Arabidopsis thaliana: one gene and its partner. The protein of the gene in region 2 interacts with the protein of the main gene of each other region in a pairwise test. Each region holds a gene or a part of one and is shown on either strand. Other genes may lie near its edges. The genes, in order: KLCR2 and CLPB4.

Evidence for each region.
Region 1: the proteins of CLPB4 (region 2) and KLCR2 interact in a two-hybrid assay, tested with the Arabidopsis thaliana proteins (one large-scale study listed by BioGRID).

The regions. Positions count from the first base shown.
Region 1 is NC_003074.8:10,379,694-10,385,073, forward strand, and holds KLCR2 (Tetratricopeptide repeat (TPR)-like superfamily protein), read right to left. Parts: upstream 3,557-5,380; 5' UTR 3,147-3,556; intron 2,966-3,146; exon of another isoform or gene 2,932-2,965; 5' UTR 2,901-2,931; coding exon 1,120-2,900; coding exon of another isoform or gene 1,116-1,119; exon of another isoform or gene 1,031-1,115; coding exon 820-1,030; 3' UTR 537-819; downstream 1-536. Other genes in the region: AT3G27950 (GDSL-like Lipase/Acylhydrolase superfamily protein), read left to right, coding at 1-78.
Region 2 is NC_003071.7:10,696,831-10,703,769, reverse strand, and holds CLPB4 (casein lytic proteinase B4), read left to right. Parts: upstream 1-1,566; 5' UTR 1,567-1,771; coding exon 1,772-2,017; intron 2,018-2,092; coding exon 2,093-2,311; intron 2,312-2,394; coding exon 2,395-2,629; intron 2,630-2,833; coding exon 2,834-3,029; intron 3,030-3,112; coding exon 3,113-3,167; intron 3,168-3,305; coding exon 3,306-3,456; intron 3,457-3,716; coding exon 3,717-4,025; intron 4,026-4,125; coding exon 4,126-4,391; intron 4,392-4,582; coding exon 4,583-5,512; intron 5,513-5,605; coding exon 5,606-5,893; 3' UTR 5,894-6,141; downstream 6,142-6,939. Other genes in the region: AT2G25150 (HXXXD-type acyl-transferase family protein), read left to right, coding at 74-325, 508-1,188; AT2G25130 (ARM repeat superfamily protein), read left to right, coding at 6,811-6,939. UniProt on the Arabidopsis thaliana protein: Molecular chaperone that does not seem to be involved in heat stress response or tolerance.

The DNA of each region.
Region 1 (5,380 bases), on a different chromosome or scaffold from region 2:
GCAAACCGAATCCTCGATGGTTCGATATCGGATCCACCTCTCCCTACCCAAAAAGCATGTAAACTCACGAAAAAATAAGTTGCCATGATATAAACTAATAAATGTCTAGCATATTTCTGGTGCTTTCAAGTAACTAGCCAAAATTTCTATTCACATCTCTCTTTTTGTTTTTGAATCAATGTAAAATTTTCTTCAAAAAGTCATTGGTTACAATATATGCAGCTTTAAGCAGAATGTTTCTATTCACATCTTATCATATTAGTTATTATATAAAAGACTATATCAAATAATCAGTAACTTGTTTGGTAAGAAATTTTAAACCGCTTAGTTCAGATTATCTTTTGCTTAGTGACAACTTTTCTTTTGTTGCTTTGCTAAGTGACAACTTCTTGATTCGGTGGGTCGTCTCTTTATGTTCTCATGCTACATATGTATGTGTATATTCGGTTATTGTTTTTTGTTGACATTCATGAACATTACATGACAAGACCAGACAAGATGTTTTAGTAACCAAACACTTGTTGTTTACTCAAGATCAGTGCTCAAAGTTAGAGAAACTGCCATCAAGGAGATTTTTAAACTCCAAAATTTCAATGTAAATCACATTACAAAACGACCAAATCAATTGCGTTTTACTCTTTACATTTTATTTATAAAGAAAACAAATGCAAGATTTTTTTTTTTTTCCTTCACTTTTTATAAAACTAGAAAACATAAAGCCTCTTCATTTTTTTCCTTCTCCCTCGACCGTGTAAGTACCGTATTCGAACTTGTATTTTGTATATATATACATTTTAGACCGGACAATAATCCGGTTAATCAATAAACCGGTCTCTGTCCATTTGCAATTTCAGGGTTGTTGTCCAAAAGGGTAAGAAGTGCTCTGTTTCTTTTACTCCTTCCTCTTCCAGCTTCTTTCAACAACGCAGCAAGCCTCTGCTTCTCGTCCTCAACCTCGGGATTTGCCGTCCCGAGCTTCTCTTCTCTTGTCCCAACAACATACTCCAATATCTCTATAGCATCATCTAACCTGTAAAGCAAGTAACACATTGCTTGTACCGCAGGGAAATACCAAAAAACATAACCTAGCAAGAAAATTGTTTTAAGTTCCAAATTTACCTTCCCATTGCGTCGTACGTTCCAGCAAGGTTACTGTAAACCGCTAATGTATCGGGATGGTACGGTCCACACTCTTTCTCAAGAATAGTTTTCGCTTCTTCAAACAAATCTGCAGCTTCATTGATCGCGTAACGCTGAACGCAAGCTAGTCCCATCTGATTCAAAGCAATCCCGAAAAGAGCGGTTTTTTTCTCTCCGCTATTGCGGAACTTTGATATCGCGCTCTTGAATATGTCGTAGGACTCGGAGTAATTTCCCATCATATAAGTAACCACACCCATTTGAGCTTCAATACCTGCAATCGTGTTCTGTTGACCTGGAGCGTTTGCATATATCTTCAACGCCCGTCTCAACAACTTAAGAGCTTGATCAAGTTCATTCATTGACTGATATATCGCAGAAATCTCTATAAAACCAGTCGCAACCTCTTCCATAGGAGTTCCTGGAGTCGGTTTTAGGTAAATCTTGAGAGCGTTTTCGCAGTACGATTTGGAATCGCGTGTTTTCCCAATCTTGTTGTACAAGTCAGCAAGCCTAACGTAAACCAAAGCAACAGAGGAATGAGTCTCACCTTTTCCTTGCTTAAACACAGCTAAAGCCTTCTGGTATGCGAATATCGCTTCATCAAACCTAGCTAGCGACATGTAAGCATCACCAATACTGCAATCTACAGCAGCAACATCTTCTCTATGGTTCTGAGATGACATTGCCATGCTCGCTAAAACATAATGCTCAAGCGCAACTTCATAATCACCTTTCGCATCGCAGATAAGTCCCATCAGTTTTCTATCCGCAGCTTCTTCAATAGAAGCTGTAGCGGCAGCACCGTTTTCTTTGTGAATGTCCAATGCCATTTGACAAAGCCTTGAGGCTTCTTCAAACTGCATTGCTTGAACATGAGCTTCCGCTAAGTACCTACAAGTTTCGCCAACTCGTGCATCCGATTCTCCAAGAACTTGTCTTTGAATCTCCAAACCCGCGGTGTATAGCATAATCGAATTTTCAACTTGACCCATCAAACCATACATGTCACCAAGCTGCATACACCCTGCAAATTTCGCCAACGCGTGATCCTCACCATCTTCAATCATCGGTATCTCGATAGAACGTTCAAGAACAGGCACAGCGTCATTGTATCTCCCTAACCCTGCATATATCGCTGCCAAGATATGCAAAGACATCACCAAATTCAACCCAAGTTGTTTCTCTCCTTCCCCACATTTCTCAAACACTTTCACCGCTCTCAACGCTAAATCAAGAGCCTTGTTTAAATTCTCACCTGAAGAAACCAACTCTCTGGCTTGCTTCAACAACACCACACCAAGCTCAGGACTCTCCTCATCAACAGAAACCTTCCCCAAATCCGGTGATTTCCTCGAAGAGATCCTCGAACCCGGCATCTTCGGATTATTAGGACTCGTTTTCGCAACCTTCTTACCATTCGAAAGAGGTTTCTTCTGACTCAAGCTACCTTCTCCATTACTTTCTTCCTTCTTCTCCAAGATAATCTCTTTCTTGCTCTCTCCTTCTTCTCCTACATCTCCAACCAAATGCCTCAACTCCAAATCAATCCTAGATTCAGCTCCATACGAAATAAAACTCGCCCTGGACGGAGACTGATCATCAGAACTCTCCATTTCACAAACGTTATGATACAACTGCTCAATAGAAGCATTCATAGCTCCATCAATTGCAAGATCTATAGAACTCAGAGGACTCCTCGGTGAAGCTTGAAGGGCAGAATCGTCTTTTACCCTCTCATTGCTCTCTCCTACGTCCATGGCCTCCAAAACTCACAACTCAATTATAAATCTGAATCAATGGAGACCAAGATTTTAGATTCAAATCCGTTAAAACAACAAGATAACATCAAAAGACTCGAAATTGAGAACCATAAGTCCCTAACTAGAATTATCTAAAGCTGACATAGATTCAGTTACTAACAGAGAACAAAACCCAGAATCAAATTCAACGAAATTGAAAAGAAAAACGAAAACTTTGAAGATTTTAAGAGATAAAAATCGAACCTTTATGTGTCTTTGACTCTGAAGAAATCTGCAAGAAGGCAAAAAAAGAACAGATTCTGTTTTTTGGTAACTTAGTGTGGTTGTGTAAGAGATGAAAATGAAGGATTTGGTGTCTTGTACTTTTCACTTTTAGGTGTTTGTTTTATATCTTCACTTTCATAATCTCATAGCTAATGTTATGAGAAAGATGAAGCAACAACATTTATGCACAAACCCTTTCACTGTCCTTATATGTTTTGAAACAAAAGCAGACTTTTTTTTTTGGGTCTACATTGCTTACTTTAATTTACCTTTTAAATTGAATTATTGATTGATTATATTAAGATAATGAAGATGATAATTGACTCTTTTTGATGTGATTATATGATTATTTTTTCAAGAAAGAGATGCATAACCAGAAATTTTTTTGAAGATCATTAGGTTTGAAGATGATTGACTCTTGAAGCAATAAAAAGAAGATGACTTCTTCCCTACTTGCACTCTCTCTTTAAATAATTTATCTTTTTTCCTCAATTTTATAAATAAATTTATCTCTTTGAAAAATAATAATGAATGTCTCATCCATTTTTTTTATCATCTAAAATTTGATTAAAAATTTGCTGTGAAACCAAAGAAAATTACAAATTTTCAAAGAAGGAAAAGTAAAACCGACAGATAAAAAATAATTCCCCAAAAATTACAGCAGAAAAAAACGAGATTCTTTCTGGAAACTAAACACTATGAAATGAATGTTTCATCCATTTCAAGATTACCTTTTTTTTAATTAAAACTTTTAAAAAATATTGTTTCCTTCACATGCAATTTTTTCATGAATTTGTTTTTTTAAAGTTAAAGTTTGAGTTTTGCCCGTTAAGAATTAATTATTTTTCTTATTTATCCTAAAAGAAATATTGTTTCCTTGAAATGCAATTTTTTAGGGATTTAATGAGTTAAATTAGAACAAAAAAAAATTGAGTTTTGCAGGTTAATTAGCCAGCTAATTAAATGCTGGGGAAAGATCACAATTCACAAGTCTACGTCAAACCCTACAAATTCACAGCTGTATAATAAGTACCGTTGAGATTCCGCCACGTGTCATACTTAATCATCAATTATCTCTAATGATCATCCCATGATCTCTAATCTATATACGTAATATTAAAAACGTGAACAGTTAAAAATTTAGCCTTTTGATTGATATAATGATGCAGTGTTTTTTTTTTAGTATAGTCTTTAACTCTTTATGGAAAGAAAAATTGGACCACTGGATTTAAAGGATTGAATCACTAATTTAGTAAGAATTTTTCTTAATGACGAAATGATATGACACGTGGACTACAGCTGCATACCAGTTAGACAGCCTGGTTTTATGGTCCAGATGTGGTCCACCTTTAAGCCCATTACGGCTTTATGGGCCCTTATAGTCATCAGTGTAGGGCCTACCCAAAATGTAATTTTTATAGAACTCTCGTTCCCATATTTCATGAGTCAATTTTATTGTGAAAAAACGATAATGCGCTTAAGGCAATTTTTTCACTAGCCAACCAACAAAATATCGAAATGACTATTATTTTTATTTATTTTTTTTTTCTTGTCACAACGAAATGACTATTTATATATGTTTTTGTTAAGAGCCCATAACATTATATTATTTGGTTGGTCGGTCATATTATATATGCAAATTATGTATGACTTGGTTTCTTACAAGAGACAGAGACAACCCACACGTTTGTTCATAATTCTAAGACCTAACAACGTCTCTTCCTTCGGATTTTTATTTTTGTATATTGCATAAAGACAACTCTGTAACCACAAATACTTTATTATTTCCTATTCACAAAGTTATAAGCAATTCTTTTTTATCGTCAGTTCATAAGCAATTCATTGGATTAATTTATGAACTGAAAACAAATTGTAATCATTGACGACTGTTGGGCGGTGCTGTTTTCTTTAACTCTTTCGCCGCTCGAATCCCATATCAAATCTTATCTGTTCACAAATTATTTGGTTTTCTAAATTCCTACGCGTTTTATATTACCAACACGTTTTTGTTTTCTTCGAAAATTTTAGGTCAGAACGTATATAATTTTGACAAATTTGTCAAATACTATCTCTGACAAAAGTTTGATAAATTTTGACAAATTTGCCACAACATCAGTCATTGAATTGTACAATAACTGTCTAACAAATAAAAATTTTCTACTTAGCGTAAAATACATTCGTTCGTGAATCGTGATGAAACAAGAATACTTGCG
Region 2 (6,939 bases):
AAATATTATAACATTGAATATATTATCAATACATAATCAAGATAATATATTGTTCACTTTGTTTCTTTTGTAGGTTACCAAGTTTGCCTGTGGAGGATTCACCATTGGCACCGCATTGACACACGCTGTGTGTGATGGATACGGTGTGGCTCAGATCATCCATGCCTTGACCGAGTTGGCTGCAGGAAAGACTGAGCCATCGGTGAAGTCAGTGTGGCAGAGAGAGCGGCTGGTCGGAAAAATTGACAATAAACCAGGCAAAGTGCCCGGTAGCCATATTGATGGTTTTTTGGCCACCTCAGCATATTTGCCAACTACTGATGTCGTATGTCATTTTGTCAAGCTTATTTTATACTCTCTCCGTATCAAATTAATATCATATAATTAAAGTAATGATTCAGCTATTAATATCATATTAAGTGATGATTTAGCTTATTAGAAGATCTTGCAAATATTTATTTTTGTAATAATTAGGTTAATGATTTTTATTTATTTATTATCCAACAGGTCACAGAGACAATAAACATTCGTGCTGGGGATATAAAAAGGCTTAAAGACTCTATGATGAAAGAATGTGAGTACCTTAAAGAGAGTTTCACTACTTATGAAGTACTTAGTTCATACATATGGAAATTAAGATCTCGAGCCCTAAAACTAAACCCTGACGGGATCACTGTCCTCGGCGTGGCTGTTGGAATCCGACATGTTTTGGACCCACCACTTCCTAAAGGATACTACGGTAACGCTTACATAGACGTCTACGTCGAGCTAACTGTGAGAGAACTCGAAGAATCATCAATCTCTAACATCGCGAATCGTGTGAAGAAAGCCAAGAAAACAGCCTATGAAAAAGGGTATATCGAGGAAGAGCTAAAGAACACGGAGAGATTGATGAGAGATGATTCAATGTTCGAAGGGGTAAGCGATGGATTATTTTTCTTGACGGATTGGAGGAATATTGGTTGGTTCGGATCAATGGATTTCGGTTGGAATGAGCCAGTGAATTTACGACCATTGACCCAGCGGGAGAGCACAGTGCACGTAGGGATGATCTTGAAACCTTCAAAATCGGATCCATCAATGGAAGGTGGAGTTAAAGTGATCATGAAGTTGCCACGAGACGCAATGGTTGAATTCAAGCGTGAGATGGCTACTATGAAGAAACTTTATTTTGGTGATACCAACTAACTTTATTTTGGTGATACCAACTAACTTTAGTTGGTGCCTGAATGATTTTCTATGTCTGTTAATGTCTTAATGAATGCTTTTCATTTGATGTCAGTGAATAATGGGTAAATATATTCACGGGTGAATATATGTAATACTCAATATGTTCATGTAATACTTAATCTGTTCATGTCATGAATAATGAATAAAGAATAATACATATATATGTATTGATAATAAATTGATTTGTTGTGAAATATAATGAAACAAGCAAAATTTTCTTAAACATATTACAAAAAAAGGGAGGTTTTCGAGCAAAACTAGAATTAATAAAACAAATGCAACTTGGTTTACTACTATACCAAAAGACTCAAATTGCTAAACTGAACCGAAAATCGGTTTAGGTATTAGCCTGCCTATAGAAAAACCCAGTGGTGGATCATCACTGGAAACTTCTCGATGAAATGACTTTCTTCTACAAACTTCTTTTTCCCTCTTCTCCAAGCTTACGCTTGTCTCCATGTAAAAAACCTCCGTCGTCTTCTTCCTCCTCCTTCATAACCCTAAACCAAAAACCCTCATTTCCTTCAATCTTCTTACTCACATGGCGCTAAGGAGATTATCAAAGTCTGTTTCGTCAGCCATCAAAGCTCAATACACTCTCTCGAGACCCTCTCCTCTCCTCCGTTCTCGCTCTCTCTCTTCCTCTCCTCACTACACCTCTATTGGCCGGCCAACAAATTCATTCATCGGAAAAATCAATAACTCTTCTATCACTCATGCGACTACTACTCATGGTCAACTCTTCCCTCTTTCTTCTCCGCGACGCTTTTGTACTACCACAGCTCAGGTTCGTGCTCGATTTCAGTGTTAGTTGCTCAATTGTGAACTTGGAACTGTTAATTTTATGGTTTAGTGATAATAGGTTAATCAAAATGAGTTTACGGAGATGGCATGGGAAGGGCTTATCAACGCCTTTGACGCGGCTCGTGAATCGAAACAACAGATTGTGGAATCTGAACATTTGATGAAAGCTCTTCTTGAGCAAAAAGATGGTATGGCTAGAAAGATTTTCACTAAAGCTGGAATTGACAATTCCTCTGTTCTTCAAGCTACAGACTTGTTCATATCTAAACAACCAACGGTACGGTGTTGCGCTTAATCTCTCTTTTTCTGTGTATCAGAACATAATTTTGCAGGTCAATTTAAGTTGTTGTGATGTTGCAGGTTAGTGATGCAAGTGGTCAGAGACTAGGGTCATCTCTTAGTGTTATATTAGAAAATGCAAAGAGGCATAAGAAAGATATGTTGGATAGTTATGTATCCGTGGAGCACTTTTTGTTGGCTTATTATTCAGATACAAGGTTTGGACAAGAGTTTTTCAGGGACATGAAACTTGATATTCAAGTGCTAAAGGATGCTATTAAAGATGTACGCGGTGATCAACGAGTAACTGATCGGAGTAAGTTACTTCGAATATAGCTAGTACACTGTGTAGATGATGTTTTATATATGCTACTTGTGACAATCAAAGACTTGACTGGAAAAATAATGATGGTTTTATTCTTATGTTCTACATTGAATTCGTGAACATTGGTAAGTAGATGTAAGACGTGTGTTGGTGACATTTGCCTACTCTCATCACGTTTTGCTAATACACATGTAGATCCTGAAAGCAAATATCAAGCACTTGAAAAGTATGGAAATGATTTAACTGAGATGGCTAGACGAGGGAAGCTGGATCCTGTCATTGGGCGGGATGATGAAATTAGGCGTTGCATCCAGATATTATGTAGGAGAACAAAAAACAATCCGGTTATTATTGGTGAACCTGGTGTAGGGAAAACTGCAATTGCAGAGGGGTAAGACTTGTAGTTATATCCCTTGTTTTTCTTTTCTTTATCAAATATTATGTTCTTACTCTGCCAAATTTTAATCTTTTCAGGTTGGCTCAACGAATTGTGCGAGGAGATGTCCCTGAACCTCTCATGAATCGAAAGGTTCATTCCAGTAAATTGCTTCAGTTTTCTTCTTGTTCTTTTTGGCCTTGGACTGTTTTGTTTAATGGACCACAGTTTTCTCGTAGAAAGGCTGGAGGAAGATTCTAACATGTTTGGCTTGGTTTCTCTATCATGTAGTTGATATCTCTCGACATGGGTTCACTTCTTGCTGGTGCCAAATTTCGAGGAGATTTTGAGGAGAGGTTGAAAGCAGTAATGAAGGAAGTATCTGCTTCCAATGGGCAAACAATCTTGTTTATTGATGAGATCCACACTGTTGTTGGTGCAGGTACCTTTTTCATTTTATCCACATACTTTAAACATTGATGATCTTTTTTATACACGATACATGTACATATGCATAATAAATGGTTAAAATGTGGCTGAGTAGAAGAACATTGCATCGCCAAATAAATGGTTAAATTGGAGATGGAAAATTTTATTGAAAGATCTACTAATATTGTTAATCTTGTTTCTTTTGACTCACTTTAGTACTTTGTTATTGGTAAGGTGAAACTAACGAATTGGCTGCTATTTACTCTTATTTAGGAGCTATGGATGGAGCAATGGATGCAAGCAACCTCTTGAAACCAATGCTTGGACGAGGTGAACTGAGATGCATTGGTGCAACTACACTGACCGAATACCGCAAATATATAGAGAAAGACCCAGCTCTAGAGCGTAGGTTTCAACAAGTGTTATGTGTTCAGCCCTCTGTTGAAGATACAATCTCGATTCTTCGTGGGTTAAGAGAGCGGTACGAGTTACACCATGGCGTTACTATATCAGATAGTGCCCTTGTTTCAGCAGCAGTTCTTGCAGACCGCTACATCACCGAACGCTTTCTGCCAGACAAAGGTATGGACATTGGACTTGCACTTTCCCTGATTACAACCAGTTTTCTTTGGGAAGTGTTTGACCATAGTATTTTTTTCTAAGATGAATGTTCTTTTTTCAGCTATTGATCTTGTTGACGAAGCTGGTGCAAAGCTGAAGATGGAGATCACTTCTAAACCAACTGAACTAGATGGAATAGATAGAGCTGTGATCAAATTGGAGATGGAAAAGCTTTCTCTTAAAAATGATACTGATAAAGCATCTAAAGAACGGCTACAGAAGATTGAGAATGATCTGTCCACGCTCAAACAGAAACAGAAAGAACTCAATGTCCAATGGGAGAAAGAAAAGTCGCTCATGACAAAAATACGTTCGTTTAAGGAAGAGGTAAAATCTTTCTCAATCACTATGCCTTTTCGACTTAACGTCTCATAAAAATAATTTTATACAAGACACACTGCAGTTTCTTGTTCTAAATTCGTACTTTTAGTGGTAGTACTTGTGGTGGTTGCTTTCGTTGTTGGTATATGTCGACGTTAATGTCCTCCGTAACATTTTCTATGTTCTATGTTTTACAGATTGATCGAGTTAACCTCGAAATTGAATCTGCTGAACGTGAATATGATCTAAACCGAGCTGCTGAGCTGAAGTATGGAACACTTTTGTCCCTCCAACGCCAATTAGAAGAAGCTGAGAAGAATCTCACGAATTTCCGACAGTTTGGACAGTCACTACTCCGAGAAGTGGTTACCGATCTTGACATAGCAGAAATAGTAAGCAAGTGGACTGGTATTCCACTATCTAATCTTCAGCAATCAGAGAGAGAGAAGTTAGTGATGTTGGAAGAAGTGCTCCACCATAGAGTTATTGGTCAAGACATGGCTGTAAAATCAGTAGCAGATGCTATCCGACGTTCAAGGGCTGGTCTTTCTGATCCTAACCGCCCAATAGCTAGTTTCATGTTCATGGGTCCAACAGGTGTTGGTAAGACCGAGCTTGCCAAGGCTCTAGCGGGATACCTTTTTAACACTGAAAATGCAATAGTGAGGGTCGATATGAGTGAGTACATGGAAAAACACTCAGTCTCACGGCTTGTTGGTGCACCACCTGGCTATGTCGGTTATGAAGAAGGTGGGCAGTTAACTGAAGTTGTTCGCAGGAGACCTTACTCGGTGGTTCTGTTTGATGAGATCGAGAAAGCCCACCCTGATGTCTTTAATATCTTGCTACAACTGCTAGACGATGGAAGAATAACTGATTCTCAAGGAAGGACCGTAAGTTTCAAAAACTGTGTTGTAATTATGACGTCGAATATAGGATCTCACCACATACTTGAGACCCTCCGCAACAATGAAGACAGCAAAGAAGCAGTTTATGAGATAATGAAGCGGCAAGTTGTGGAGTTAGCAAGACAAAATTTCAGGCCTGAGTTCATGAACAGAATTGACGAGTACATAGTTTTCCAGCCGCTGGATTCTAACGAAATCTCCAAAATCGTAGAGTTACAGGTAACTAACCCTTTTAAACCCACTTTGTTTTTTCAGAATCTTTGTTCTTCTAAAGACATTAGCTTCATGTTATTACATTTGTGTAATGTGCAGATGAGACGGGTGAAGAATAGCTTGGAACAGAAGAAAATCAAACTTCAGTATACCAAAGAGGCAGTGGATCTCCTTGCTCAGCTTGGCTTTGACCCTAACTACGGGGCAAGGCCGGTGAAGCGAGTGATTCAACAGATGGTGGAGAATGAGATCGCTGTCGGGATTTTGAAAGGAGATTTTGCAGAAGAAGATACCGTTCTTGTCGATGTTGACCACTTGGCTAGTGACAACAAATTGGTTATCAAGAAGCTTGAGAGTAATGCTTCAGCTGAAGAAATGGCCGCTTAATTGCACAAACAAAATTAGACGATTCGGGGTTTAGCGTTTATAACTCTTTTGTTCTGTCTTTTGTAGATTCGTACTTTAGTGTTGCTCTCTCTTCTAACTCGTACGGAATGTAATGTTTTGAGGATTATCTTTTGCCGACAAAAGTAAATGGGAACACACCGACTTATTCCTCCGTTAGCATTTGAAATTATGAACTTTATGGAGCTTTTAAGGACTCACGTACCAATGTGGTACTATTAGAATTTGTCACAGATCTGATTTTCAAGTAAGGAGATTACAAATCTTACAAAATCAAAATTGAAGAAACGTTTTTGACTTGGAATAATAATTTTTTTAACCACGTTCTCATGTCGCTAGAATTGAATCGGATATTCGGATCCTTCTCTTTAATAGCTTCCGACATTGAAGTATTTGTTTATTCTTAAGTAAGTTTCTTATTAATTCGTGTGTCTGATATTTAAACGAGTTAGTATTCTTACTAGTGATAAAGTATTAGTTAGGGACTGAGAAATGTCGGTCGTGTCATGCAATGAGGGAAACAACCTGGTACATGGAGTCTAAACAATTATCGTTTTCTTAGAATTGTACTTTTGAAATTGCGAAATGAGCCTACAAATTATAATCAAAATTTAGCTATATTTTTACTATTTGAATGATTGAACTAATTTTGATATACGTTCGTTATGTTCGTCAAAACTACCCAAAACCCGACTATATATAAATGTGAAACTTCTAAATTCTCAATCTTAAAATTAAATATTCTCTAGATCTCCACAATATTGTTTTTGTAAAATATTCGATAAATCTCTTTAAAATCATTTTGGTTCCTCTGTTTTCGCTTCCAAACAGAACAAACTCTTTTCTCTCTCCCTCTCTCTTTCTTGCTTCCTCAAGCTCTATAGAACTGATCGGCGATAATGGCGAAGTGTCACCGGAACAATGTTGATCCTCTCATTCTCCATCGTATTCCCTCCGCTTCTTCTTCCTCTTTATCCGGAAACACCTTCTCCGGATCGTCATTGCGCAGGATCATCTTCGACGCCATT